7 linked regions of the Ovis aries genome follow. The protein of the gene in region 1 interacts with the protein of each later gene in a biochemical or structural test. Links are inferred from orthologs where the notes say so. Each region holds a gene or a part of one and is shown in the gene's direction. Other genes may lie near its edges.

The links.
Region 2: the proteins of LRRK1 (region 1) and GAK form a complex in vitro, tested with the Homo sapiens proteins (2 studies listed by BioGRID and IntAct, with this or other methods). The link is inferred for Ovis aries from reciprocal best matches to the Homo sapiens genes LRRK1 and GAK.
Region 3: the proteins of LRRK1 (region 1) and CWC15 form a complex in vitro, tested with the Homo sapiens proteins (2 studies listed by BioGRID and IntAct, with this or other methods). The link is inferred for Ovis aries from reciprocal best matches to the Homo sapiens genes LRRK1 and CWC15.
Region 4: the proteins of LRRK1 (region 1) and PDCD4 form a complex in vitro, tested with the Homo sapiens proteins (2 studies listed by BioGRID and IntAct, with this or other methods). The link is inferred for Ovis aries from reciprocal best matches to the Homo sapiens genes LRRK1 and PDCD4.
Region 5: the proteins of LRRK1 (region 1) and CD2BP2 form a complex in vitro, tested with the Homo sapiens proteins (2 studies listed by BioGRID and IntAct, with this or other methods). The link is inferred for Ovis aries from reciprocal best matches to the Homo sapiens genes LRRK1 and CD2BP2.
Region 6: the proteins of LRRK1 (region 1) and CLVS1 form a complex in vitro, tested with the Homo sapiens proteins (2 studies listed by BioGRID and IntAct, with this or other methods). The link is inferred for Ovis aries from reciprocal best matches to the Homo sapiens genes LRRK1 and CLVS1.
Region 7: the proteins of LRRK1 (region 1) and CHGB form a complex in vitro, tested with the Homo sapiens proteins (2 studies listed by BioGRID and IntAct, with this or other methods). The link is inferred for Ovis aries from reciprocal best matches to the Homo sapiens genes LRRK1 and CHGB.

The regions. Positions count from the first base shown.
Region 1 is NC_056071.1:4,897,988-4,901,487, reverse strand, and holds part of LRRK1 (leucine-rich repeat serine/threonine-protein kinase 1), read left to right. Parts: intron 1-2,760; coding exon 2,761-2,932; intron 2,933-3,500.
Region 2 is NC_056059.1:118,113,057-118,117,054, forward strand, and holds the start of GAK (cyclin-G-associated kinase), read left to right. Parts: upstream 1-1,198; 5' UTR 1,199-1,294; coding exon 1,295-1,439; intron 1,440-3,998. UniProt on the Homo sapiens protein: Associates with cyclin G and CDK5. Seems to act as an auxilin homolog that is involved in the uncoating of clathrin-coated vesicles by Hsc70 in non-neuronal cells. Expression oscillates slightly during the cell cycle, peaking at G1.
Region 3 is NC_056068.1:15,092,383-15,096,525, forward strand, and holds the start of CWC15 (spliceosome-associated protein CWC15 homolog), read left to right. Parts: upstream 1-1,343; 5' UTR 1,344-1,493; exon of another isoform or gene 1,494-1,944; intron 1,945-2,713; 5' UTR 2,714-2,736; coding exon 2,737-2,867; intron 2,868-3,506; coding exon 3,507-3,619; intron 3,620-4,143. UniProt on the Homo sapiens protein: Involved in pre-mRNA splicing as component of the spliceosome. Component of the PRP19-CDC5L complex that forms an integral part of the spliceosome and is required for activating pre-mRNA splicing.
Region 4 is NC_056075.1:30,953,258-30,957,400, forward strand, and holds the start of PDCD4 (programmed cell death protein 4), read left to right. Parts: upstream 1-1,343; 5' UTR 1,344-1,375; exon of another isoform or gene 1,376-1,446; intron 1,447-1,731; exon of another isoform or gene 1,732-1,875; intron 1,876-1,920; exon of another isoform or gene 1,921-4,143. UniProt on the Homo sapiens protein: Inhibits translation initiation and cap-dependent translation. May excert its function by hindering the interaction between EIF4A1 and EIF4G. Inhibits the helicase activity of EIF4A. Modulates the activation of JUN kinase.
Region 5 is NC_056077.1:27,062,918-27,067,207, reverse strand, and holds the start of CD2BP2 (CD2 antigen cytoplasmic tail-binding protein 2), read left to right. Parts: upstream 1-1,490; 5' UTR 1,491-2,073; coding exon of another isoform or gene 2,074-2,694; exon of another isoform or gene 2,695-2,718; intron 2,719-2,991; exon of another isoform or gene 2,992-3,076; intron 3,077-3,641; exon of another isoform or gene 3,642-3,710; intron 3,711-4,265; 5' UTR 4,266-4,290. Other genes in the region: TBC1D10B (TBC1 domain family member 10B), read left to right, coding at 194-348, 435-1,070; sesquipedalian-1-like, read right to left, coding at 2,074-2,694. UniProt on the Homo sapiens protein: Involved in pre-mRNA splicing as component of the U5 snRNP complex that is involved in spliceosome assembly.
Region 6 is NC_056062.1:39,933,182-39,936,681, forward strand, and holds part of CLVS1 (clavesin-1), read left to right. Parts: coding exon 1-204; intron 205-3,500.
Region 7 is NC_056066.1:47,754,636-47,758,930, forward strand, and holds the start of CHGB (secretogranin-1), read left to right. Parts: upstream 1-1,495; 5' UTR 1,496-1,619; coding exon 1,620-1,668; intron 1,669-4,295. UniProt on the Homo sapiens protein: Secretogranin-1 is a neuroendocrine secretory granule protein, which may be the precursor for other biologically active peptides.

The DNA.
Region 1 (3,500 bases):
AGGTACAAAAGTGTGCATGCTAACTATCCAGCCCAGTTTCAAAATGCAGGGAGGGCAGGGACTCGAGGGGCATGTGGGTTCAGTCTAACGGCACTCTGGCTTGGTTCTCAGGGCCTCCTTTCTCTACTTCAGTCTCAGCTGTTTCCTGGGTCTGATGCTGATGTTGGCCATGAGGCAGTGGCCAGGATGCCAAATCCCCAGACCCTTTTGATGCCTGTCATAGAACACAGCACCACCCGGCCCCTCAACCCCAGAGCTCTGGGGGAACACCCTCGGGACCCTCCGGGGGCTGGCCTGGCCACTCTATGGCCAGCCAAACAATTCCATCAGCACAGTCTGGGTCTCTTGGGAGCCAACTCTGGGCCATCGCTTCCTGAGCTCCCACCCATATATCCACTTGGCCTAATGACTGTGGGAGGGGCCTCAGTCCTTCCTGCTTCAGCCCCATGGGGACCAAGAGTGAGTCCTAAAAAGAGAAACCCCAAAGGGGAATTCAGAATCCACATGACCCCTCCCATCCTGGCCCAGGTGTGTCCTTGACTTTGGCCCCTGGTAAAGCAGCCTGTGAGTTTACAGCATTGCCGGAATTTGACAGTTTTCTGATTATTCTATCAGCAGGTTAGAGGAATGCGGAAATACTCTCACTCTGTAAAAGCAACTGCCTCTTTTTTTCCTCATATGTAAAATAGAAATAATACTATCACTTACTAGTATTATAGTCAATGTGAGGATTAAATCAGAGGGTACGTGTGAACTATGAAACGTATCTCCTGCACCTTTGAGCTTCAGGGACATCCAGGATCATCAATGCTGTTATTGTTACTATCTTTGCGTTAAGTACTCATAGTCAGTGGTGTCTAGTTCCATCTAAAGTCAGGAGTGTCTGAGCACTATACCTACCTCTAAGTGTAGATATAATGGGTCCCTTGTACCCCAGAGACAAGGAGTTTCAGCTCTTTGCACCATAAGCTTTTATATGATCAACAAAAACAAAGGCATTTGCTGCTCCTTTCAACCTGCAGTCCCTGGGAAAACCTTCAGGGCCTTTCTAAACCTCTCTCTACACTTTCGAGTGTTTGTACTTCTTCCAGGCGGGGATGCACTGGCTCTCAGCACTCGGGGAAGGCTCTGGCCCAACTGCTAAGACAGCCTCAGGGACGTATCATGGACTGGCTCCGCCGTAGTGCAAACCCCGTGCAGTGCCCAGGTCTTCATGGCTTTCTAGTCAGCAGGCACGTGAAGAACTCCCCTCTTAGTTCCCCAAGCCCACACCTTTGGCAGCCCTGCCCTGTTAGTGGTCGCTCTAAAGCCAGTGCTGGTGGTTTCGCCCAGGGCTCTGCTCACATTGAGAGGGGCTTCCTTTGCCCATCAGTTTAAACCTCTTCACTTGCCATTCTGGCTTTTAAGTCATCCGTACCTTCAAAAATATTGAACACCTGCTGTGTGTGCCACGTGCTGGGGCACCTGGGTACAGAGTGTGCCCCCTCCCTCGGGCACGCTGGCCAGATGGAAAAAATTGGGAAGTCCCAGGGCACAGCCACGGAGGGGGTCCCATGTGCCCAAGCTGAGCATGGCATAGGCAGAAGAAGCAGGCTAGATCTCACTGGGCACTGACAAGGGCCTCCTGTTTGAGGTCAGAGAGATAAAGGACTTCTCAGAACTAAAAGGCATGTGCCAGAGAATTCCTGGCTGTGGAGAGAGGCACTCCAGCTGGGCTCATTGGCAAGGTCCTTTGGGCCAAGACCTATAATGGCTGAAAAGGACCGAAACGCCACCATCTGTCCCCTTGGACCTCACCTACACAGCCACTGTCCGTTCTTCTCTAACCCTGCAAGGCTGGCATCCCCACTCTTCTGCCATTAAGGAAGCAGAATGGCAATGAGATTAGGCCGTGTGCTGAAGACACCCTGGGGACTCCACCCCCAGGCTGTCTTTGAATTTTCCTTCCATAGTGTTTTCAGGGGTTTCTTTCAGAAAGTCCTAAAAACATTTTATAGGACCTACACTAATGGAATTTTAAAGGATTAAGAGAACTGAAAGCAAGCCTTTAAGGACACACCCAAGGCTCTGCCCAAGGCCATCTTAGCTCCTCCAGGACACACAGAAGATGCTGGTTTTCAGGGAATTATTGGAGGGACCTCCCTCGTTTCAGCTTATTAAAAGTGATCACAGTCATGAACAGCTCACTGACACTGCAGTTCAGTCCTTTTATGAGTAAGACTGCTCTTATAAAACATCATTCTTTTGCACAAAGAGCCTCATTCGAAATTTCAAGGTAATTGTGTTATCTCAACTGGCCAAGAACAATAAATAGCTTCTCAGGCCAAAGACATTTCTCTGACCCCCGATATCTTGTCCTTGGAACTGTGCAGCTGTATTTGTTTTTCCTTCACCATCCGAAGTTAATTTTAAGTAACTCCCCAATCGCAACCCGGTTTACAGAGAACCGACTGTGATTTGTTGTGTCTGTGTTTATGACCACAGATGTTTTCACGTCTTCCCTCGCCGTGTTCTAGTCTCTATCTTAGAGACTTCGACAAACTGATTCGCTATGCCCATCTTCGTTTTCTCTTGGAGTATTTATGCTCACCATATAAACTACCCCCTCTTTCTAAAAATGGTTCCAAAGGCCCTGGGAGGAAGGCATCGGGCAACCTGCGCTGCTTTGGCAGATCCCGCCCCAGGCCAGACTGCCTGCAGGGGTGAGAGCCCCAGAGCAGAGCTCAGGCCTTGGCTCAGCAGCCCTCTTTGGTGTTTCAGCTACCTCCTGCCGCATCTGCTTCCGTCCAAACCCGGCCTGGACACCCACGGCATGCGGCACCCCACAGCCAACACCATTCAGAGAGTGTTTAAGATGAGCTTCGTTCCGGTTGGCTTCTGGCAGAGGTTTATAGCACGGATGCTGATCAGCTTGGCTGAGATGGACCTCCAGGTAGTTGCGTTTTCTGCATAGGGCACTATTTGCTTGCAGGCCAAGCCCCTGCGGCTATGCCCTGGTGGGAGTGGGGGGAGGGAGACACCCTTTGCTGGAGGAGCCTGACTGAAGACCCTTTCCTGCAGCAGAACTGCTGGCTTAGGGTCCGGACACTGGGACAGCGTGGCTGCCTCCTCTCCTGTGGGCCACAGACCCGCTTGAGTCATTCTGTGAATGCCAGATCAGCACCTAGCTGTCTTGGACAGACTATCCCATGAGGAGCAGTGGTTTCAGTCTTACCAACGTCCACATTCCCTGGCTCTGTGGCTGTGGACCGGGACTCAGAGTCTGCTTATCCAGACACTGACCTTGAATATGCTGTTGCTCAGGGATAATGCCCAGAAGAACCATGGTTTTGCCATTCAGGCTGTGACTGAACTCCCCTGGGGAGCTCTTAATAGACACAGACCAACAAGTCAGAATCTGTGGGTATGGCACACAGGGATCATATTTTTTAAAGCTCTCCAGGTGATTGATTTCACTGTCCAGTCAAGCTTGAGAACCACTGGCATAGAACTTTAACTTG
Region 2 (3,998 bases), on another chromosome or scaffold:
CTCCAATGCATGAAAGTGAAAAGTGAAAGGGAAGTCGCTCAGTCATGTCCAACTCTTAGGGACCCCATGGACTGTGGCCTACCAGGCTCCTCCATCCATGGGATTTTCCAGGCGAGAGTGCTGGAGTGGGGGGCCATTGTGTGCCACTTCTAATTACCCTCCCTGCCTTCCCCCCATCTCCCTGCGGCCCTGGGACCCAATGCTCTTAGTTTTATTCCTGCTTCCTTGGCTGTTCCTCCCCTCTGAGGACTGCGTCCTCTTTCTAACCACCGTGTCCCCCTCAGGGCTCTCTTCAACTGCCACCTATATGCTAGGGACACCCAAACACAGCCTGACTCCTTCCTGAGCCCCCAACCCTTGTATGCCACGTAGCAGATGAACACTGGCTGGAGAAGCCGTGCGACTTGTGTGGGCTTCGAGCTGTCTCACTAACTGTGTCCAGCAGACCCTGGCCAGCTGGCCGCGTAATGCCGCTGCGGAGCACGCTTTGTCACCTCGAAGGCGGGGGTGGGGTGGGAGTTCTCTGAGATGCTCCAGGGTCACTCAGGCGAACACTTATAAAGCCCTGTACAAACTAACCTGCTTTATTACAAGGATAACAGACGCTAGCCTGTCTGGAGAGAGATCTCTGTGAAGCTCCGGGCGGGTGACGATGCTGTCTGGGGATCCGGCTCCAGGGCCCCGCGCCGGGACCGGGAAGCGGCCCAGGGGCCAGGCGAGCGGTGCTGTCTTACCTGCGGGGGCAGCTCTAGGTGGTGGGTGACACCCGGGAGTCTGGGTCCAGTGCCGCCAGATCTGACTTTTTTCTACAGAAGCTACCAATCTTGGTTTCTGAAATTGAGCTTTTCAGTTCTTTAGTGGGAACCAACTCAAAAAGATGGACATTGCTAGCGCCCTGGCGCTCCGCGCACACAGCCCGCTGCTCCCGCCGCGCAACCAGGCCCCGGGAGCGCCAGCTTCCGCGGAAACGGCCACGCGGGACGGTTGGGCGCCAGGCCGGGGGCGAGCCCTGCGAGGGTCGTCCGCCGCAGCCAGCAGGCGCGCGACCCGGAAGTCCGCCCGAGGCCCGCAGGCGCGCGACCCGGAAGTCCGCTGAGGCCGCGGCGCCGCGCACGCGCGGCCCCGGCGCGGCGGAAGTGCGGCGCCGGCGCTCTTCCGGGCGGGTCGCGCCCCCCGCGCCTGCGTCGCGGCGTCGGGCGGAAGCTGGTGCGGCTCGCGAGCGGCGGTTGCCGAGCGGACCCGGACGCGCGCGGACCCCGAGCCCTCGGGCCGGCGCCCGCCGCGGGCCGCCGCCATGTCGCTGCTGCAGTCCGCGCTCGACTTCCTGGCGGGCCCGGGCTCCCTGGGGGGCGCGGCCGCCCGCGACCAGACGGACTTCGTGGGGCAGACGGTGGAGATGGGCGAGCTGCGGCTGCGGGTGCGCCGGGTCCTGGCCGAAGGTGAGGGCGGCCGCGGCCGGTCGGGCGGCGACTGCGGGGGACGAGGCCGGCCGCGGGTCGGGCACTTCCGTGAGGGAGGCTCGGGGCCAGGCCGGGCCCTGGCGGCCGTGCCGGCGGGTGCGGGCCACCCCCGGCCCGGGCGGAGGCTGGCCCGGCGGGCGGGACTCCACGCGGCTGGAGGCTGGAGTCTGCAGGCGGGCGGTGCGGCGGGGGCAGGCGAAGCCGTGGCCCCTCTCGCTCCGAGGGCCACGGCGGGGGGCGGACGCAGGGCCGGCCGCCTGGCTGACAGGGGCTCGGGCGTGGGTGGCCGTGGCCCTGGCCTCCGCAGGTGCGGGGGCACGCGGTGCGGCGCCCGCTAGCCGCGCTGCCTCCTTGCCCCTGAGCGTCCCTTTCCCCGACCTGCGTCTGAGTCCCCAGGCGAGTTTCCGCAGGACGAGCCAACAGGTGTGACCGCTGCGGACCTTGCTTGGCAGGCCGGGCAGGGCCGTCTTTGGTACTTCCGCGTGCCCTCTCTGGCTTCCTGAATGCCCTCTTTACTTCACGCAGAGTTGCTCACCCCTGTTGGCGCAGCCCTTTTGCTCCTTTGTCTGGCCCGGCAGATTCCCCTAGCCGTGGCACTTGGCAGCTGAAGGCGTGGCTTTGGGGCCGCTGCTGAAGCCTGAGGTACCCCCCTGATTTCGCACTCTTGCTGCCAGCTGTGCTCAGTTTGAGCTGGGCAGCGCTGACTGTTCTGGGGCCCTCCTTCCTAAAGTCCTCAGGTGGTGCTAAGGCCAGAGCACCACCACACATTTTTTCTCCACTGTCAGAAACATTTTGGGTGTGACTGGGTGACAAGCCTCAGGCTCTTTCCGAAGTGGAGGCCAGTGTATCTAGTAATGAGAAGTGTCCCCCGCTCCTCCGCCCCCCACCGCCCCATCAGTTCGTTTATTCTGAAAATACCAGGCACGTGTTTTGATTCTTTAAGGAATCACAGTGCACAGGACGTGGTTTCTGCTTTGTGGAAGTTCAGGTGAGACACAGGCGCTCTGATGACTGGAGGTCAGCAAAGTGCAGGGGGTCCCCTGGTGGGTGGACAGTGGGCCCAGCTGCAGGGCTGGAGGAGGAGGGGGGCTGGAGGGGGTTGGGGAGGCGGCTCCGGGAGACAGGAAGCTCCTGCCAGTGGCTTCACCCGAGGATGAAGACCAGCGAGAGCAAGTGCCCGCCCTGGCTGTGCAGACCTGCTCCTTCGTTCCCCCAGGACGTCAGGAGCCGTCGATTTCCTGCCCGTAAACTGAAGTGGTAGCCTAGGGCTTGCGGAGCTCGTGCGGCTGCTTCTGAACTGGGCCAGTAGGAGACCTTTGGAAGTCCCTCACGTAAAATAGCAGCTTGAGGGCGTGGGCTGTGGGCTTCTGTGAACACGGGGAAGGGCAGCTCAAAACTCCTGGGCACCTATGTGGACAGTTGCAGAATTTTTCAGGTTTTAGAAAGGTAGAGTGTAGCCTGTGGGTCGTGGGATACACCACTGAGAGTTGGGAAACAGTCACGTCATCAAATGTACTAATATTTAATACTCCTGTAATTAAGTAAGTATCCTCATTGTGGGGCAATTAGGTCTTCAAATAGCCCCGTGTCAGGTCATGTCAGGGTTGCCCCAGCTGAGCTTCTCGCCAGGTTTTGCTCTCAGATGATTCTCCAGGCAAGAGCGCTGGAGTGGGTAGCCCTTGCCTTCTCCAGGGGATCTTCTTGACCCAGGGATCAAACCCAGGCCTCCCACATTGCGGGCAGGCACTTTATCCTCTGAGCCACCAGGTAAGCTGGTGTATAACTAGGTCTCCAGATAGCCCCGTGTCAGGCCATGTCAGGGTTGCCCCAGCTGAGCTTCTCGCCAGGTTTTGCTCTCAAACGATTTAGGGAGAAAGCGTCGGTTTTCATAACTTTTTGCAGTTTATAGCCTGAAATGGGTTGTTGGGTAGAACTATGGAGCTAGATAGCTTTTCAGAGTTTGTTCTAAATTTTCACTTTTTAAGAACAAGCGGGCTTCCCTGGTGGCTCAGACGGTAAAGAATCTGCCCCCAGTGCAGGAGACCCAGGTTAGAGCCCTGGGTCGGGAAATCCCCTGGAGGAGGGCGTGGCAGTCCACTCCAGTGCTCTTGCCTGGAGAATTCCGTGACAGAGGAGCCTGGTGAGCTGTAGCCCTTGGGGTCGCAAAGGGTCGTACGCGACAGAGCGACTGACCCGCTGGCATCCCGCGGCGGCAGGGGCGTCCCTGGGGCCTGTCCTGACTGCAGGAGGGCATGGGGGCGGGTGTGTTGGAGGAGAGGACTGGGCCCTCTTCTGCAGGGCCCCGCCGCCTGGTGCCTGGGGGGCTTGTCGGGGGCCATGGGGCTGTGGCGGCCCCTGTGGACCCCCCTTTCCACGTGGGAAGCGTAGGTGAGCCCTGAGCCCCACGGCTCACCGGTCTTGTAGTTCTGGTGTCTTCTCGCTTGAGCGTTGAGGTCTTGTCAACCCTCTGTCTTTGCCCTTGACCCTGGAGCTGGAGGCCTGAGTGCGGAGACCGTTCTCTGCCAGGGAGGGTTCCTA
Region 3 (4,143 bases), on another chromosome or scaffold:
TGTGGGAGAAAAGTGGGAGCAAGAAGATCATTAGGGGACAATTACAATCCAGGTAGAAAATGATGCTGGCTTGGACTAAGGCAGTGGAATGAAATTTGGGGTATATGCTGAAAGTAGAATTGGGAAGACTTGCAAGTAAACTAGATGAGAAAAGTGAAGGGAAAGGGATTTAAGAGGAGCGCTGGGATTCTGGTTTGAGTAACTAGCCTGATGGTAGTAGTGTCCTTTACTGAGATGTGGCAGATTAGGAGAGTAATTAATACCTTTGGTAAGAAAAATCAAGATTAGCAATTTGAATTTTATGAGGGAAGGGACTTTTTCTATGCTTTGTTTCATTTAACGTTCAAGGAGTTCTGGGGGCGTTGGTGGGGAAAGCTTTTTTCTGTTCGATGTTATGAGCTCTTTACATTTGAAACTAAGGTGGGGGGAGTTCAATTTTCATTTGTTTAACAAATATCTACTGAGCATCTACTGTGGCCAAGGATTATGTGATTAGATACCAAGTTGAACTGGAAAGGCAAACAAAATCCATGCTCCCAGAGGGCTTTTGGTGGGGGAAGGAGTTAGGACGATTGGTGATTTTTTAATTTTCCTGTTCGTTACCTTATGAAAACTTTCCCTAACGCATGAGTAGCCATCTTACAATAGTAACTGCATCTAGGGCTCCTGGCAGTTGGGCCACCGTTCTAAACGTTCAATGTCTGTTAGTATATAAATGAATCTCGACAGTGACACCTCCCCTCCCACTAGAACTTAGGCTTTTATAAAAAGTAAATATTTTAACGAACGTTACGAATACAACCTTCGTTGTGAAGACTAATATTTTTGCAGGAATGGTACCTTTATAAAGATCGTGGTTGCCCCCGTACATATTTGTTCTTTCTTCATATCCAATTAAATGCAAATACTACTTTCCGTAGCCCAACTCTCTAGGCTTGTTGGGTCTAGCTCAGGAGTAAGGAAGCAGGAGCCGTTGGATTTAAACAGTTTGGTGTAATCCTTTTCTATGCTCTCTCGCTAGCCGGGGACTTGGTGTCGGCTACTCGGGGCTCTTCGTTTACGCAGTACCGGAATGAAGGAATCTGGGAGGGGGTCGGAAAAGGAAAAGACGGAACACACATTAATTGACTCTCGAAGCTACACAACAACGTTCAGGGTCTACTCTAAAGCACTGATTTCAAATGCCCGCCCCCTGGGCCGTTTAAGCCCCGCCCCGTGCGTCGTCACTTCGACTTCCACCTTGGTCTCCGCTGACTGGTCCTTGCCTCCGCGGGCGCCTGACGAGCTTGGGGTTTGCTTCCGGGTCTTGGGATTTTTTTTTTTTTTTTTTTTGGGCCGCGGGTGCAGAGGTTTCTGGGAGCGGAGAGTCAAGATGGCGTCTGTATGATCTCCGGAGGTAGCGGCGTTGGAGTTCGGCCAAAGTGAGCGGCAAGAGGAAAGCAGACTGTGGGTTGGACCGTAAGGGGCAGTTGGCGGCGGAGGCAGAGAACTCGGTGCGGGCCCTGGAGGCGCCAGACGAGGAAAGCCTAGTGTGGGTGGGGCCGGAAAGGGGTAGTTGGGGGCGGAGGCAGAGAATCCAGTGCTGACTGAGCGGTCCCCACAGGGGCCTGACGGGGAAAGCGGCCTGTGGGCGGGGCCGGAAGGGGCAGCTGGGGGCGGAGTCAGCTAACCGGGTTTAGGCCGCGGAGGCCCAGGAGCTGCAGACCGGAGAGCCATCTGTCGGTGGGGCCGGAAGGGGAAGCTGGGGGCGGAGTCAGAGAGCCCGTAAATGCGGAGGAGGCGGTGGAGCTGCGAACTGGTGGTGGGGCTCCGCGCCTAGCGAGCGTGTCCCTGGTCTCCGATCGGCTCCCGAGAGCGCAGCGCCAAGGCATCTCGGCAGAGGGCCGCCCCTCGCCCCCTGGGATAGGGGTGAAGAGTCAGCGAGTTCCCTGCGACAGCCCGGAGGTGAACTCCCCGCCCCAGGGATGACTGTTTTGGGGGGGAGGCGGCGATGCTCCCCAGAGACCTGAAACCCTGTTTCTGTCTCTCTGGATACATCCCTCTCCCTTTTTTTTTCCCCGGAAAATCTAGAGAAGTATATCATTTCCCCCAGTTTTTCCCTGACACTTGCTTCTCTGACGCTTGAGGATGTTTCAGTAACCACAAACGGGTCCCTAATTTTTGGTTATTACAGTCCTTTGAGGGTGGGCTCTTGTGTTTCCAGCATTTCTTAAATTGTAACTTGGAAAAGATCTAATTTATATTATGTTGGCTGCTACTGGAGGAAATTTGATCAACAAAAGATTGTTGGAGATATTTGCCTATGTAACTGTCATTGAAGCTTAACACACTTTTTTTACTAGAACACTCAGTAACTTTGTCAGTGATTTTTTTTTTAAGATGTCTTTGCTTTTGTAGTTGTTAGCCTGTTCTGCTGTGTGAGGTTTAGATGAAATGGGAGTAAGGAGTCCGGTGGCGTGAGGTTGAGTGGAGATGTTTTAAATTCAGACATGGCTGTACTGTATTTTATAAAGGTTTTGATATGTCACGTCTCCTGATTTAATAACCTTTTGAGGAATATCCCCATTTCACAGATGACAGAAACTTAAACTTGGTGGCTTGCCAGGGGTCACAGATGTTTGAGGGAATGAGCTAGGGAAATTATTTCACAAGGATGGCTATAGATTAATGCTTTTCAAAATGAGAGTTTGTCATATTGAAAATAACTTGACAGTGTTTTTCTTCAAAGCATAAAAGATGACAACAGCAGCTCGGCCAACTTTTGAACCTGCAAGAGGTGGAAGAGGAAAAGGTGAGGGTGATTTGAGCCAACTCTCAAAGCAGTATTCAAGCAGAGACCTACCCTCTCATACAAAGATAAAATATAGGTAATGAAGCCTTTTAGTTTTTGTTTCACAAGCAAGACCAAGTCTGTTAAATGATGTGGTCATGAGGTAGCATGTTGGGGTTACTATCACTCAAGTTATCTGTTTTCATAGGAGTAGAATGTAGTAGTGTTTCAGACACCCAGAATTATGCTCCATGATTTTAAAGTGCTACCAGATATTCCTTAAGCAGAAATTCCAGTTAACCAGGAATTTCTATATGTAGATTGAACAATGACTAATAATACATTCTGTCAGGAGGAGCAAGCACTATCAATACAAATCAGTATGAGATTAAAAGTGTTGCTGTAACAAGCCCTGAGTTAGCATACTAACAAAAAGTATAAGCGTTTTGATCAACCTGCTGCCTTACTATGGGAAAGTATGTTGATTTAGTTTGAGGTTCTTAAAGGTTGTTGATTTAGTTTGAGGTTCTTAAAAGTATGTTGATTTAGTGTGAGGTTTTAGACATCACAGGATGCCTCTTAGTAACTTTTGGATTAGACTGATGATTTTGTTTATCCCCTAGTGGAGTTTTCTGCTTTAGGACTCAGGCTGAAGTTGTGTTTCTTGAATTGTCTTCCATTACTACAGCCGTGTGTTTTTTAGAAGTAACTTTGCCTTGTCTTGTTTCTACTTTAGACAGACCACTCAGGATGCCCCTGAAGAAGTTCGAAACCGTGACTTCAGGAGAGAGTTGGAGGAGAGAGAGAGAGCTGCTGCAAGAGAAAAAAACAGAGATCGGCCAACCCGAGGTACCAATACTACCTTAGACATCTCTCATAACATTATGTTGACAGTAGTTTTTCTTTCATGTGGTAATAGGAATGGATTATTATTTTTGTTTGTTTGCTTTTAAATGTGGGGTGAGAGCTATAGCAGTTTCTTGAAAGATTAGATTGGATTGGATTGATTGGATTAGATTATATTGGATTGGATTAGAGATGATAATGAAGTTGATACCAATTTCATCTTATTATGCCTCTGTTTTAGAAAGAGCTAGGGGATATTTAGCAACTGTTATTTCAATTCAGATTAAGGAGTTTTTGACTATTTACAGCAGCCAGACTTTTTAAGGCCCCATGGTTTCTGTCTATGAAATTCTTCCATTTTTATTTCTAGCATGTGTAAACTGTATCCTAAGTTTCCTGAGGCTACAGTTTCCATAATAAAATCAATACTTTTGTTAACTCATTCGGCAGGTATTTGTCAAGGACTTACTTGCCTGCCACTGTTGTTATAGTCCCTACTGTCATGTTTAAGACCTAAGCTCTTGGTG
Region 4 (4,143 bases), on another chromosome or scaffold:
GACTGGGAGTGGTGTGGAGAGACATGACTAGAAAGTCTTGACGTCACAGCCAAGGGGCCATGAACGCCCCTGGCTGAGGTGATGCTCCAAGCAGGTAGCCGGAAGCTGTGAAAAATGTTTTTGTATTGTGTGTGTTACAAATGATTTCCAGGCAGGGTGACTGGCAGAAAGAGGTAAGCTAGGAGAAGGAGCTTGCTGGTAGGGGAGGATGCAATTTGGTTCCAAAGACGCTATGGACACCCTTGAGGTGTTGCACATCAGATAATTGGAAAATCTGGCCGCAGATCCTGGCTGAGTCCTCTCCCGAGAGGATAAGAGACCGCAGAAAGTTCTGGTGGTTGTCTCAGGTAACAGGGAAGCTAGGGAGGATGTGAGGAAAACACTAGCCAAAGAGAACCTAGACAGGAGGAAATGATGCAGGAACAGCCCCCGGAGGCCAAAGTTTCAATAATGAAATTATAGCCATGGTTGAAAACCTCAACCTTGGAGCCTGAAACGTGTGAGTTTGAATCCCAGGAACCCGAGTAGTCACATTTAGCAAAGGGACTTCAAGAGTTTTTGAGTCTGTTTCCTCATCTATGAAATGTGAGTGATTTCTACCTCAAAGGATTGAGAGCATTCACTAAGATTCTTAGCATGGGGTTTGCACACAGTAGGAGCTAAAGAGTAAGCAGGGGCCAGCGGGAGAAGGAATTAGAGAAGTTAAGAGTATTCCCCTGAGGAGCGTCGGGAAATGGAGGCCGGGACCCTCAGGAAGCCCAAAGCCTTTGCTTCAGCCGAGGGTGCTGACCGGCGTGGAAGGAGGATGGGTGCCTGCAATCTGAGGCCTTTCCTTTCCGTCCTCGCTTCCCTCCAGCCGGGCCTCCCAGCAGCAACCTCCCCCCAACCTCCCCGCCCCGCCTCGCCTCAACCTCCCCGCCCCCGCCTCAACCTCCCCGCCCCCGCCTCAACCTCCCCGCCCCCCCCAACCTCCCCGCCCCCCCCAACCTCCCCGCCCCCCCCTCAACCTCCCCGCCCCCCCCTCAACCTCCCCGCCCCCCCTCAACCTCCCCGCCCCCCCCTCAACCTCCCCGCCCCCCCCTCAACCTCCCCGCCCCCCCCTCAACCTCCCCGGCCACTCTACTCGGCTCCCCACCAGCCAGGCCCCAAAGCATGATGCGCATGCGTCCTCCCGCGCCCTTGCCCAGCTTTCCACGTTTCACTTCCCTCCTTTTCCCTCCGCAGCGCCAGCTCCATCGCTACGATTGGCCAGAAGACCTCCTCGGATTGGCCAATAAACGGCGCCCTGTCGCCCCCGTGTTACTGGGTAGAACAAAACAAAAACAAACAGAGCGAGAGGGGCCAGAGACGCTCGGAGGCAGCGACAGACGCTGAGGTGCGGGGTCGGGGCCGGCTGACCAGGGACCTGGGCGAGCAACAGCGGCGGCGACGGCGGCGGCCTGAGGGGTCAGTAGCGGCGGCCCGGCCCGCGCGCTCGGGAGGACTGTGCCCTCTCCCACAGCCCCTATCTTCAGAGGCAGCCGCTCGTTGGGGGAGGGGGGCGGGGGGTCGTGGGGTCGTGGAGGCCGCGGCCGAGGCCGGGTCGGGCCGGCGGGGCCGGCGTCCGCCGCCTCCTCGGAGCTCGGCCGGCCGAGCCGCGTCCGCCCCAACGCCCTGGGCTGCGGAGAACCGGCCCCGATGCTCTCCTCTGGCCTCGGCTGGGAGCGTGGCGGCGCGGGCCCGCCCCCTCTTGGACCCCCTCCAGGCTTAGCGGGGCGCGCGGGGCTCTCGCCGTCGAGGGGCTGCTCGCCCACCAGAAGGCCGACTTTTCATTTTCCTCTGGGGATGGGCCGTCGGGAGGCGGGTTTCTGGCCCGACTGAAATCCTGTGAGGAAGGTATGCGCCCTCCCCGCCCTCCTGGCCTCCTTGGGGGCCCGCGCTGAAGATGCGGCCCGGCGTTGCCCGGGTCCGGCCGCCCGCCCGCGTCCAGCACCACGCGGGGGTCGGCCTGGCCTGGGGGCTGCAGGAGCCCGGGCCTGCGCGGCGGAGAAGCGGGCCGGGCCACAGCGGGAGGGGCTGCTGGGAGGCGGCCACGTGCCCGCCGCCCCGGCCCTGCGAGAACTTCGGCGCGCCTCAGGTTGGGTATAGGGTCGCTTGTTTAGTTTAAATGAAATCTCCCGGGGAAAACAAAGGCAGGGAGGGAGCCCCCTTTCTGTGTTACGTGTGCTGTGTCTGCTGCATTTGTCTATTTGATGCTGCGGTGTATGCGGGGAGGCTTTTTTGGTTTGTTTGCTTTACAAGAGCTTCGGAACTGCCTTCGGAAGTCAAAATCGCCTGTCTCCCCTGGCCCTAGTGAGAACTGACTGCGTAGCTAGCAGTTGTGAGATACTGGCAGAGAAGTAAAATGACTAAAAATGCACCTTCCTCGGGGGGGGGGGGGGGGGGGGGGAATGTCACCGCCTGTTTCTCCCTGCATTTTCCTTGTTAAATTAGACTTTTGGCATTCTTGCTAACGTAAGGCTTTTTAGGAACTCACCACTCACTTTTTAAAGGATCATTATAGATATGTTGTAAATTTACTTATTGGTATTTATGCCTTTGAGCTTTCCTGGCGGCTCAGTGGTGAAGAATCCGCTTGCCAATGCAGGAGATGCTGGTTCAATTCCCGGCCCCGGAAGATCCCTTGGAGAAGGAAATGGCAACCCACTCCAGTATTCTTGCCTGGAAAATCCTATGGACAGAGGAGCCTGGAAGTCTACAGTTCATGGGGTTGCAAGAGTTGGACACAATTTAGCGACTAAACTGCCACCACCATATGCTCTTAACTTCCCTTTTTTATAGATTTATTAAACTCCTTAATATCTTAGCAGGCGTCTTTGAATTTTATTTTGGTTGGTTTTTCTGTTGTAGTAATGAGAAAGGAAAAGTAGTTAAGAGTGTAAGTAGCTAAGAGTGTAAAAATAAATGACATTTTGCTGTTTTCCCTCATTTTTGCATCATTGTGGTTGAGTGCTTTTAGCTGATTTTAAGTGGCTAGTTAGCAGTGATTGTAGACCTGAAGTGAATACAGGTACTTTTCTAGTTAACATATGGCCTAAACTTCAAAAAAAAGTCGAAGTGGTTTATGAGGTATATTTCAGGAAATAGATTGTTTTAGGGGAAGTAGGGTGGGAAAGTGAGGATCTTTTTGGGAATGTCTTGGAAATTGATGCTTCTGCTTGTATGCTTCTGTGAAACACAATGGATAAATGAAAACTTTAATTTCAGCCTTTAATTTTGTCTAACTTACAGCTTTATTGAAAATTTTCTAGTTTTGTGTGAAGAATGTGGAGTTTAGATTTTTTTTTTTTTTTTTGCTTTACATTTTTCTTAAGTTTGTGGCAAAAACCTTACGGATTGTTAAGTAACTGGAAGCTCATTACTTTGAAGACAGTAGTAACACGGGACTTATCTTTATCTTTCTGTAAATTGTTCTAAAACATCTGTGTTGTTATCAAGTGTCCCTGAGTTCTTGAATGTGTTAATCATTGCCAGAAGACCGAGACAGGGCTTTTTGTTGTTGTTACAGTTATTTAATAAAAACAAATTTGATAAACTATAGTCATTACCTGATAATGTTCTTTGTCCAACTGAGCGTCTTTTGTGTAATAATTTAGATATTATTTTTAGTGTTAGAAAAGTAGTATTTAAAATTTTGATATGACAGCAGAAGTGTGTGTTCTAATAAGCTTCTTTCTGGTAACTCTAAAGAATCTTCTGTGGGTTATTAAAATCTTGTATTGAGCTTGTGCACACAGAACTGGATTCAGAAGGTCAGGGTTCTAATCCTGATTCTTCCAATGAGCTCTTTCTCTGATTCTGTTTAGTTGTTTGACAGTGGAGTTCCTACCTCAAGATTCTTCTGAGTGGTGCATGAAATAACCCATATAAAATTGTTTCTGAATTATAAGAGGCTTTTTAAACATCAGTTATACTTTATTAGCTAAGTTCTGTGGAAAGTGTCCTCTTGAAGATTGTATCAAGATTGAAGAAGATTTTAAAAATTAACTCTAGTTAAAAAATCTCACACTCATATCATGTAACATTTTCTCTTTCTAAAACGTGATTCATCTACTAAAATGAAATAGATTTGGCATTTTCAGCCATGGAGGACACTAATGTTTA
Region 5 (4,290 bases), on another chromosome or scaffold:
GCCACCAGCCACAGCTTGCTTTGCCTCCCAGGAACCTAAAACCCATGGTGGCTCATTTTCTTCTCAAGGCCTCCATTTCCTCATCTGTCGGGTCAACAATACACAGGGATGGGGGCTGTGAGTACCCCCTGCACGGGCCAGGCTGAGACCCCCCAGGCTGATCACCCATGGCCTCTTCTCTTCGGGCCTGCAGGCGTCAAGATCATCTTCCGGGTGGCCCTGGTGCTGCTGCGGCACACGCTGGGCTCGGTGGAAAAGCTGCGCTCCTGCCAAGGCATGTATGAGACCATGGAGCAGCTGCGGAACTTGCCTCAGCAGTGCATGCAGGAGGACTTCCTGGTGCACGAGGTAGGTCCTGGCCTTAGCGTACCTCACACCCGCTTCAGTAGATCCCCACCCCACTTCACCCTGGTACCCATGTCTTCTCCATCTAGGTGACCAACCTCCAAGTGACAGAAGCACTGATTGAGCGAGAGAACGCAGCCCAGCTCAAGAAGTGGCTGGAAACCCGGGGCGAGCTGCAGTATCGGCCCTCACGGAGACTACACGGTTCCCGGGCCATCCACGAGGAGCGCCGGCGGCAGCTGCCCCCCCTGGGCCCCTCCTCCAGCCTCCTCAGCCTCCCTGGCCTCAAGAGCCGGGGCTCCCGGGCAGGTGGAGGGGTCCCCTCCCCACCCCCTCCCGTCCGCAGGGCCAGCGCGGGGCCTGCCCCAGGGCCCGTGGTCACCGCCGAGGGACTGCGTCCATCCCTTCCTTCGCCTACTGGCAACAGCGCCCCTCTGGCCCCTAGCGGCAAGGAGGCCCGGAGGCAGGAGAAGGAGCGGCAGAAACAGGAAAAGGAACGCGAGAAGGAGCGGCAGAAACAGGAAAAAGAACGGGAGAAGCAGGAGAAGGAGCGGCAGAAGCAGGAGAAGGAGCAGCAGAAACAGGAGAAGGAGCGGCAGAAGCAGGAGAAGAAGGCCCAGGGCAGGAAGCTCTCACTCCATCGAAAGGCAGATGGACCGCCTGCCCCCCAGGACGGCGGGGACAGGTCCTCAGCATCAGAGGCCCGGCAGGATGCGTACTTCTGACCTCTGCCCTGGGGCTGGACTACGTGGCCCCCTCTTTTCCCTCAGCCAAGAGCAGACCTAGCCTGGGGTCCTGCTCCCAGCCCGCCCTTGGCAGGCTGTCCCTCTTTTTGAGGAAAGTGGCTTGTTCCCCGTCTCCGTGCCAGCCGCTGATCCCCACGTGGCCAGGACAGTCAGAACGGGGGGCAGCTGCATTTCCCTGGGGAAGCAGTGGACACCTCACCTCCAGCTCGGCCCAACTGGGGTCCCTTCCCAGGTGCCACTCTCCTGATTGGCCTTTGGTCACCGCAGGGGTGACCTGTGGCAGTGGGAGTCAGCAGTTTTCAGATTCTTACACTCCAGTCACTCCCCTTACCCGTGAAGTGAAGCTGGGTTCCTTTACCCCCTTCAGTCCTGCCTGTCTTCCCCCAGTTCCTGGTTGGGGGCCCAGGCTCTTCTTGCTCTCCTTCTGGACATCTCTGTGTTGTAATTATGTACAGAGGACCTGGTGGGCCCCGGGTGGGGGTGTTCACTCCATCTTCTGTTCTCTGGTTCTCCCTCCTCAGTGTTCTTGCACTCTAGTTTATTTAAGGGGACACGCACTGGAACAGGAAATGTCTCCCACCTCCCACCACCACCCTCCTTGCTCTCCTTCCTCTTCACCCACCTTTCTCTGTATTCTCAGGCCTCCCCTGCTTTATCTGACCAGGGCCCCTGCCTTTCACTTTGTCCCTTCCAACCCTCCAGCCCCTTCCTGGGTAAGGGTCTTCCCCTGAGCCCCAGGGGGTGGAACCCAATGTTTACATGTTCTTCTGTCTCTGCCCCCACCCTGTTCGGCCGCTTTGAGGAACCGGAAAAGAACCTGCTGTTGTACCTGGGCCTGTCTTTTGCCTTGTTATTTGATGAGTGGGGTTAAAGTAAGGACAAGGAGGGAGGGAGTGATGAGTTAGCAAGGATCTGGGTGTCTCTGGAAGCTGTTGACTGGACTTGGCAGATACCTTTGGGTCTTTAGTCTATTAGTCACTCATCAACACAGTTGTTGCGTTCCTGCTTCACCTCCACCTGCTGGGGATCTGCTGCCTCCGTTGTCACTGGCCTCCTGGAACTGTCTGTGGACAGCCTGCAGCATCCGGATCTCCTTTCCAAAGTGCTCGTGCAACTCCTGGAAGCTGAAGAGGGTCCTGGGGGTGGCTGGGGAGCCACAGTCCTCTGGGGGTGAGCCGGGCTCTTGGCCAGCTGCCTGGCACAGCTCCCGGTACTGGGCCTCCAGGGGGCGTAGCAGCTCAGCCAGCCGCGTCCAGGTGGCTCCGGCCAACGCCCACAGCCAGGCTCTCAGCTCCTCCCGGTTTTCTGCTGCCAGCCTGTAGGCCCGCCCACCATCTCCCCCTGGAGTCCGAATGGTAAAGGCATAAGGTTCTGTGGCTCCAAGGCGTGGCTCCACCTGGCAGTTCTCTAATAGGATGAGACCCAGGGGTGTGTGGTCAGCCTGGTGTTCCAGGTAGAAGAGGAGGTTTCCTCGCAGGATGAACCAGCGGCGCTGATAACTGGTATTTCGGGCCCCCTTCTTTAGCAGGATGCCCTCCCGGTCTGGAGCCTGTGTTCTGTACCCACGGAAGAAACGGAGCACGGACTTTCGGTGCAGTTTCATGGTAGCCCACTGTGGGAAGAAACCCTAGGAGTGGAGAAAGGAGGAGTGGGGCATTTGGTGATCCGGAGTACCCCAGCACTGCCCTCCTCTGGTTCCAGCAGGCTCTTTCTGGGCACTGTCTTGGTCTTGGTCTAGAGGGATTCAAACTTGAGTTTTCAAGAAGGACCTTCCACCCACCTCCCAACCTCAGCTCTGCCCCTTGGGCCAAATTACAAAACCTGGGCAGGACTGTAGTGCTGGGGTCCTGTTTGGGGGTGGGGTTGGCGGATATCCACTACGGCCCTTTCCCAGGCCTACCTGAGATGAGGGCACAAGGGACTTCAGGCCTCGGTACTGGGAACAGGTGCCACTGCCACCTCTCCTATTTGACTCTTCCCACCTCAGAAACCAGGAACTTGGCCAGGGGATAGGAGGCGGCTGATTTTAGACTTCCCCTGGGTCCTAAAAGGAGCTGGGTTCGGAAAGTCCCAGGAGAACCTCTGGGACAACAGCAAGGCTACACCTCGGACTAGCAAAGGGCGGACAACTGGACGCCAAGAGTAGGAAGGCAGGATTTCTAATGAGATGATGAAGGGCGCAGAACCAGCCGTGGGGAAAAGGAGACAACCCGGGAAAGAGAAAACTAGGGCAGGAACCCACCGGCCCTGCTGGGACTTTGTTCCTCCATCGTGAACCTGGGCGCCCCTTTCTCCTCAGAGCCTCTAGTGTTGTAGGAGGAAACCGAGATCACTTCCGGCCATCCTCGTCCGATCAGGGTCTAGGCGTTCAAATGTCCCCTCTTCTCACCATAGTCACCCCACACGGCTCGCGTCACTTCTGGGAGGGGGCGTCTCTCCCCGCGCGGCGCGTACTTCCGCCCGCTCCTTCAGTTGTTCATCTAACCCGAGTGAAGCCACTTCCGGCTTTCCCCGCCGCCTTCCGCAGTTCTCTTCCGGGTGGTGGCGGGCGGGTGGCCCGGATGTAGCCCTGGTGAAACCCTCTCTCCCTTTCTTCCCCCACCTTTCCTGGATCCTTAGGTGAGCGCGTGCCGGCGGGACTGCTGGTGTCCCCGTGGCCCTGCCGCCTTTCTAATTTGTACACAGCCCAAGACAGTTGGGAGTCACCCCGCGGAGTTGGGAGTTCGGCGCAGGGAGGAGCGGGGCTGCCAGGGCGCTAGGTCCTGGGTCTGCCGGGGCCCCTCGGGTTCCGAGGAAGCTGGGGGTGGTGGAGCGGGTGTTTACCCGCGAAGCACATCGCGCCCAGCACTGCTGGGGCCTGGAATAAGGGTGGTCACGTGGGGGAGCCCGTCTCCTCTTGTCAAGGGTGGGGGTGCCCGTAGGAGCTCCTCCGCCCGTCCGCTCTTGCGTCTCCGCACCAGCGGCTCTTTTAGATGCTAAGCCAAGTCCCGGGAGGGGCGGGGGGAGGGGCGGGTTCTGGACTACCAGCTCGCCTTTCGGCTCCTGATTCTGTACTCCCTTCCCAAAGTGGATCTAGTACCCGCCAAGTAAAAGATCTGTTGTGCAGGGGGCCCCCTCGCGGGGAGTTGCCTCCTCACCCAGTTCCCTTAATCTGCACCCTTTCCCTCTGCTCAGTTTGGAAAAGCCCTTCTGTCCAGTC
Region 6 (3,500 bases), on another chromosome or scaffold:
CCACCAGCTAATACATCCTGAATTTTTGCCATCTGAATTTGGAGGCACTCTTCCTCCTTATGACATGGGAACATGGGCCCGGACGTTGCTCGGTCCTGACTACAGCGATGAAAATGACTACACTCACACTTCCTATAATGCAATGCACGTGAAACACACATCCTCCAATCTGGAGAGAGAGTGCTCACCCAAGCCAATGAAGAGGTAAGGTCTGGGTTAGCAGAGCCTTCCAGTTAGAGCTCAAGAGGCATTTTTTTATATAGGGGCTATTTCAGGTAACCCTGGTAGCTCAGATGATAAAGAATCTGCCTGCAGTGCAGGAGACTCAGTTTCGATCCTTGGGTCAGGAAGAACCCCAGGAGAAGGGAATGTCAACCCACCCCAGTGTTTTGCCTGGAAAATCCTATGGTCAGAGGAGCCTGGCAGGCTACAGTCCATGTTGTCGCAGAGAGTCAGACGTGACTGAGCATGCATGCATTGTGAGTTAAGTAATTGAAGACCTTTATGGGCACAGAACTTGAATAAAATAAATTGCAATACATTCTCAGTTGATTTCACCAAAATTGAAAGTAAATGCGGCTTGGCTAGCTCAGAAATACTGTCATCCCCATTGTATGAAAGAAGCAGTAGAAGGCTTGGCCCTCGGTCATGTCATGATTATGGTTTTGGTCTCAAGGGAGTCTGTTAATTCACACAGAATGAAATGTGGGACCTTTGAGACACATTGGAGGAAAAAGCAACCTGCTAGAAAATGTTGCTATCATCAGCGTATTTGGAACCATTTATTGAGCATTTACTTGGCCACAGGCACTGATCGGGAACTGGGAGTATGAAAATGAATAAAGACATAAAAGGAAAAAAAAAAAAAAGAGAGAAGAGGGCCTTGGGAAAAATCTGCCAAGTAAGACTTCTAGCAACCTATTTCTACTGTGAGCAACAGCTGAGCTGAGCTCTGAAGGATGAGAATCAGCAGCCCAGGCTTACAGAGGGGGAAAGACAAGACAGACAGAGGTGTGGAGACTGTGGAGGGGTGGGATAGTCTGGTGTGGCAAATTGGTGTGAAAGGTTCAGGAGTGAGAGTGGGAATGAAGTTCTACAGATGGCTGGTTGCAGGTGGGGAAGTAAATTGTATGCTGTAGTCAATAGAAGACCATGAGTGAGGGCTTTTAAAATTGATATACAAATAATGTGCAAGTACTTTGTTATTATAATCAGTAAAGCCTTATTTTACCTTTTCAACCCCTAGTCCCCAATCTCAATCTCTATGCCTCCCCAAAGGAGGGGTTGGACTGGGGTGAACCCTTCCATTCTCTTTTCCATACATTACACATAGCTATATACACCCAGAGAAAATATCTAATATTGTGTATTGTGTGGTCTAGTTCAATAGGGCTGCTGTGACAAAGTACCACAGTCTAAAATGGACTAGGTACCTTAAATCAGGGGTCCCTAACCCAGTACTGGTCCAATACTAGTTCATGGCCAAAATACTGGCCTGTGGCCTGTTGGGAACCGGGCCACATAGCAGGAAGTTAACACCAGGCAAGAGAATGAAATTTCATCTGTATTTACAGCTGATCCCTATTGCTCTCCCATCATCCCTGGATGGGACCATCTATCTGCAGGAAAACAAGCTCAGAGTTCCCTCTGGTTTTGTATTATGGTGAGTTATATAATTACTTCATCATATATACTATAAGGTAGCATGTTCAGTTGCTCTGTTGTGTCCATCTCTCTGCGGCCTCATCGACTGTAGTCCACCAGGCTCTTTTGTCCATGGGATTCTCCAGGCAAGAATACTGGGGTGGGTTGTCATTTCCTCTTCCAGGGGATCTTCCCAACCCAGGGATCGAATCTGCATTTCTTGAATCTCCTGCATTGGCAAGCAGATTCTTTATCACTAGTTACACCTGGGAAGACCCTATATATCACAATGTAATAATAGAAATAAAATGCAAAATAAATGTAACATGCCTGAATCATTCTGAAACCATCCCCTCCTGCCACCCTGGTCCATAGAAAAACTGTATTCCATGAAATCGGTCCCTGGTGCCAAAAAGGTTGGGGACCACTGTCTTAAACAATAGAACGTTATTCTCTCGCAGTATGGGGGCAACAAGTCCAAGATTAAGGTGTCTGCAGGTTGTTGCCTTCTGAGGCCTCTCTCCTTGGCTTGTAGATGCCCATCTTCTCTCTGTGTCTTCACTAGGTTTTCCCTTCATGCATCTTTATCCATATCCTAATTTCCTCTTCTTACAAGAACACTACTCATATTGGCTTAGGGCCCACCTTATTTGGTCAATATCTTAATAACCTCCTTAAAGATGCTATCTCCAAATACAGTCACAGTCTGAGATACTGGGGGTGAGAACGTCAACGTATGAATATGAAGGGGGACAGACATAGCTTATCTGTCTTCATGTAAGCTCCTTTGATGTCGGTAATGCTAGGTGTAGCTCATGTTTTCAGCACTGTGTCATGTTCCAGAAAGTGGATATATCACAATGCAGCCATTTCTCTTCTGATGGACTGTTAGATTTTTTCTGAGCTTTCTTCTCTGTTCTAAGCAGGGCTCAATTTACCATTTTGATGTGCCTCCTTCGTTCTCATGGGAATGTTCCTCTGGGTAGATGTGGAGTCTTGTAGCTGCTAGGTCAGAGGACTGTGCACCTTAAATTTCAATCACGCTGCCTAGAGACCCTCCAAAATGACCTCACTCCCATTTTGGGTGTGTGAGAATATCCCTCTCAGACCCATTAAAAGTGCTTGATATTAGCAGACTTCACTTTTTTTCTCCTGAGTTATAATTGACATAATGCTTCTGAGATGGCTCAGTAGGGAAAAAATCCACCTGCAGTGCAGGAGAGGCAGGAGATGCGAGTTTGATCCCTTGTAAGAGGGCATGGCAACCCACTCCAGTATTCTTGCCTGGAGAATCCCAGGCAAGAGGAGCCTAGCAGGCTACAGACCATGGGGTCACAAAGAGTCGGACATGACTGAGCAACTGAGCACACACAAGGTGTACAATATAATGATGTGACTTACATACAGGATGAAATGATTATCCCATACATTTAGTGAACATCCCTCATTTCATATAAATATAAAATTAAATAAATAGAAAAAACTTTGGTTCTGTGTAATGAGAACTCTGAAGACATACTCTCTTAACAACTTCCACATATAACATGAGCAGTTTTAATTCTATCAATCATATTGTACATTATATTCCTAGAACTTAACTTATCTTTTTGAAAAAATATTTTATTTATTTCTTAAGCTGTGCCAGGTCTTAGCTGTGGCATGAGAACTCTTGGTTGTGGCCTGTGGGATCTAGTTCCCTGACTGGGGATGGAACTCAGGCCCCCTGCATCTGGAGCATGGAGTCTTACACCTAGAGCACCAGGGAAGTCCCCTTACTTATCTTATAACTGAGAGTTTGTACCTCTCGACCACCTTCATCCAATTTTCCCTCCTCCTACCCACTGCCTCTGGTGACC
Region 7 (4,295 bases), on another chromosome or scaffold:
AGACCACTGAAATGGGACGGATTGATATTCTAGAGGAGTCCAGAAACATGCCCATTAACATGCACATATGAATTCTAGGTTTTTTCCAAAGTTAAACTACACAGCAGGTGGGAAATATGGTCATTTCAGTAAAACGAAAAAAACAAATTCCCAGAAAAATTAGGTGTTGATATTTTTTATTGAAGGATAATTGCTTTACAGAATTTTGCTGTTTTCTGTGAAATCTCAACATGAATCACCCATAGGTATACATATATCCCCTCCCTTTTGAAGCTCCCTCCCATCTCCCTCCCCATCCCACCCCTCTAGGTAGATACAGAGCCCCTATTTGAGTTTCCTGAGACATACAGCAAATTCCTATTGGGTATCTATTTTACATATGGTGATGTAAATTTCCTTGTTACTCTTTCCATACATCTCACCCTCTCCTTCCTAGAATCTATTATACAGAGTGAAGTGAGTCAGAAAGAGAAAGATAAATACCGTATTCTAGCACATATATAAGGAATCTAGAAAAATAGTACTGAAGAATTTACTTACAGGGCAACAATGGAGAAACAGACATAGAAAATAGACTTAAGCGCTTAGACTCTGCGCTTCCTGCTCAGCCAAAACAAACAAACAAACAAAAAGTGACCATGCCGCTATCTCACAGGATGTTTATTCTAAAGCCCTTGTTTATAAAGAAAATGCTGATTTCCTCCGTCGTCCTGCTTTGAGAGAATTCATAAGAAATCTTCCGTGGCCCCCACCTCTGCCCTGTACATGTTAATCTAAATGTCAAAAGCAAAAATAATAAAAAGTTTATAAAATAATGAGAAGAAAAGAAAACTAAGTCTGAATATAGGAACTGGCTATCGGCCAACTACGATAATGAAAAGAGATACATAGCCTCCCTGGTGGCTCAGATGGTAAAGAATCTGCCTGCAATGAGGGAGACCTGGGTTCAATCCCTGGGTCGGGAAGATCTCCTGGAGAAGGAACCAGCAACCCACTTCAGTATTCTTGCCTGGTGAATTCCATGGACAGAGGAGCCTGGCGGGGCTACAGTCCATGGGGTCGCAAAGAGTTGGACACGACTGAAGCGACTAACACTTTCATACAGCCTCAAACACGTTTCTAGATACGGAGGTTGGCGGCTGGGGTTGGGGGTTGGGGGGTTTGGAGGGGTTGGGGAAGGCGGGTTGCGGGGAAGAAGAGAAATATATTTCGACAATCTAAGCAGGACTCCCTCCTCTCCCCTCTGGACTTCGATTTGAGCTACCTCCCCTCATCCTTCCACCCTTTCTGCCTAACTCCCCACTCGCGCTGAAGACTCGGAGCACTGAGGCGACTGCACTGGCGTAAATTTCTACCTACGTGCGCCACCGCCCCTGAAGGCCGTTTCATGACGTCAGAGCTAAGCGAGGGGGCGCCGCCTCCTGGGTGCCAGCCCCTCCCAGCCTTGCGGCCCTGGCTTGCCCTTTAAAAGAGCAGGGCCTGCGCCAACCGCCCCACACCGCGGGGACCAGGATACAAGGCTGTTTTCCCGGAGCATCTTCATCTCGCCTTCCATCCCCTTGTCATTCACCGTTCCGACTGCTATCCTCTTCTCCGCGCAGATTTGGACGAGCCAGGCCATGCAGCCGGCCGCCCTTCTCGGCTTTCTGGGAGCCACGGTGGTTGCAGGTGAGTGGGCGCGGCTGGCCGTTCAGCACCGCGGACAGCGCCAGCCTCTGTCTCCTTGGCAGTCCTGGGCATCTTGGCTGGTGGATACTGGGTGAGAGGCAGGGTTGAGTGGAAAGTCTCTCCCTCTTGATTGAGGGTCTTAATTTCTTCCCTTCCCTGAGTGTTTCCCTTCAACTGCCCGCCCCAACATCTGACTTGGAAAAAGCCAGAGGACTTCCTAGCTCATGTCTAAAATGTCACATCCTCTCCATCTATTTAGAGAAATGCTGTTATAGTCTTTTTCTGTATCTGCAATTAAGTGTTTGTTTGGCTTTTTAAAGCCAGATGACCACGGAGAGACAGGAGTACACCTATTATATTAGTTGACAACTGTATACTTTCTATGACTGTTACTATTATTTAAACATAATGAGATAAAGGTAAGCCTCTTATGTTTATATGTATAAAAGATATATCTTTTTTTCTTAACATATATGTTAAGAAATGACACATATGTATGTTCATTTATCCACAGGTTTAATGTAATATTTTTCTGTATTTTATATTTTTGTCTCTGGGAAGAGGTAATTTCACACTCAAATTAATATATCTTTAAGTTATAAATGAGAAGTGCAATAGATATTTTGACTTCTGTGCTCCAGGAAAATAGTGAGTGTGAAATAACCACAAAAATATTCTTAGAGTAATAAAAATAAATTGTTTTAGTCAATTTGGGAGGATGCAATTTTAATGTGTGGGAAATTGTGGGATTAATTTTTCAAACTGCTCTGAATCTCAATGATCTTTGGAAATTTGGGGGGGGGAGGGAAGAGTGTGTGTGTGTGTGTGTGTGTGTGTGTGTTTGTGTGTATTTGTATGCTGAAGTCACTACAAGTCCACTGAAAAGTAAATATGCTGCCACCAGATTAAACTGGAGGGTTTTTTAAAAACAGTCTTAATAACCTCATAGAATATTGTTCTTATCTAAGATTGAAATTCCTAACAAGAATTGAAGCATTGCCATCCATGAATATGAGGGTTCCATTGACAGTAATTACTGGATCCCAGATATAAAGAGAGACAAGAGCCAGAGGTAATTTTTGTATTGCAAATTCAGAATTTTCAAAAAATTCTTGTCACTGTTACAAATTGCCTACAAATGTTCATGATTTAATTGAAGAAAGCCAAATAAATATTTAGAGTCCTCCCTGATGAAAAATATTTGCAGAAAGGAATTGCTTAATAGGCTAAATCTGTGCTATACATTGTGCTATAGACCACAAAAACAATGTTATTTCTGAGACTTATTTACCTACATGTGTATTAGTCACCCAGTCGTGTCTGACTCTTTGGGACCCCATGGATTGTAGCCCACCAGGTTCCTCTGTCCATGGAATTCTCCAGGCAGGAATACTGGAGTGGGTTGCCATTCCCTTCTCCAGAGGATCTTCTCAACCCGGGATCAAATGCAGTCTCTTGCATTGCAGGCAGTTTCTTTACCACTGAGCTACCAGGGAAGCCCCTATAGTGATAAAATATTTATGGCTCTTTTGCAAGATAATATTTTAAGAAGGGTTTATATTTTAATGTCAACTAAAATCATGATATTCTTTAAAAAAAAGTTTTTTACTGAGCTATAATTCACACACCATAAAATCTATACTTTTTAAAGTGCATAAATCAGTGATTTTTTGAACACTCACAGATTGTGTAACCATTATAACATTTCAGAACACTTTCTCTCACCCCAGGAAAAAAAAGTCTATTCCCCATTCCCTCCTCCTCCAAATGCTTGGAAATGAGACATGGTAGCCTTCAAGCAGAGTTTGTTATTTACCAAAATCACAGGAATCCTGTGGAAACCATCTGGTTTATTTCCTACCATTATGAGCTTCTGGAAGGAGATCTATACCTTTCTACAGTAGTTACTATGCATCCTAAAAATTAATATGCATTCAGGAGCTACATGCTATTCATATTACACTAGGTAAGATGGTTTCTGCATTCAAAAGAGCTTGCTTACTGTATTATTTTATAGCTGTTTTATTTTCACTCTGGGATGAAACCTTAGTTTGTTAGTCTTATTTGTTGTTCTTGTTCAGTCGCTCAGTTGTATCCAGCTTTTTGCAACCCCATGGACTGCAGCACCCCAGGCTTCCCTGTCCTTCATCATATCCTGAAGCTAACTCAAACTCATGTCCATTGAGTCAGTGATGTCATCCAACCATCTAACCTACTGTCATCCCCTTCTCCTACAAAAAAGATCTTATGACCCAGATACCCACAATGTGTGATCACTCATCTAGAGCCAGACATACTGGAATGCAAAGTCAGGGGGTCTTTAGGAAGCATCACTATGACCAAAGCTAGTGGAGGTGATGGAATTCCAGCTGAGCTATTTCAAATCCTGAGAGATGATGTTGTGAAAGTGCTGCACTCAATATGCCAGCAAACTTGGAAAACTCAGCAGTCAGTCTTATGGAATACTATTATTTTGGAAGTTATTCTCAGATTTACCATGTGATATTATTTGAAAGTTTTTCTGCCATTTGATTACTTCGCTTTTATCATAATCATTGGGTTTTCTTTTGTGACCCCTAAATCTTAACTTATACAGAAATAAAATAAGCTACTTTAGGGGTATCAAC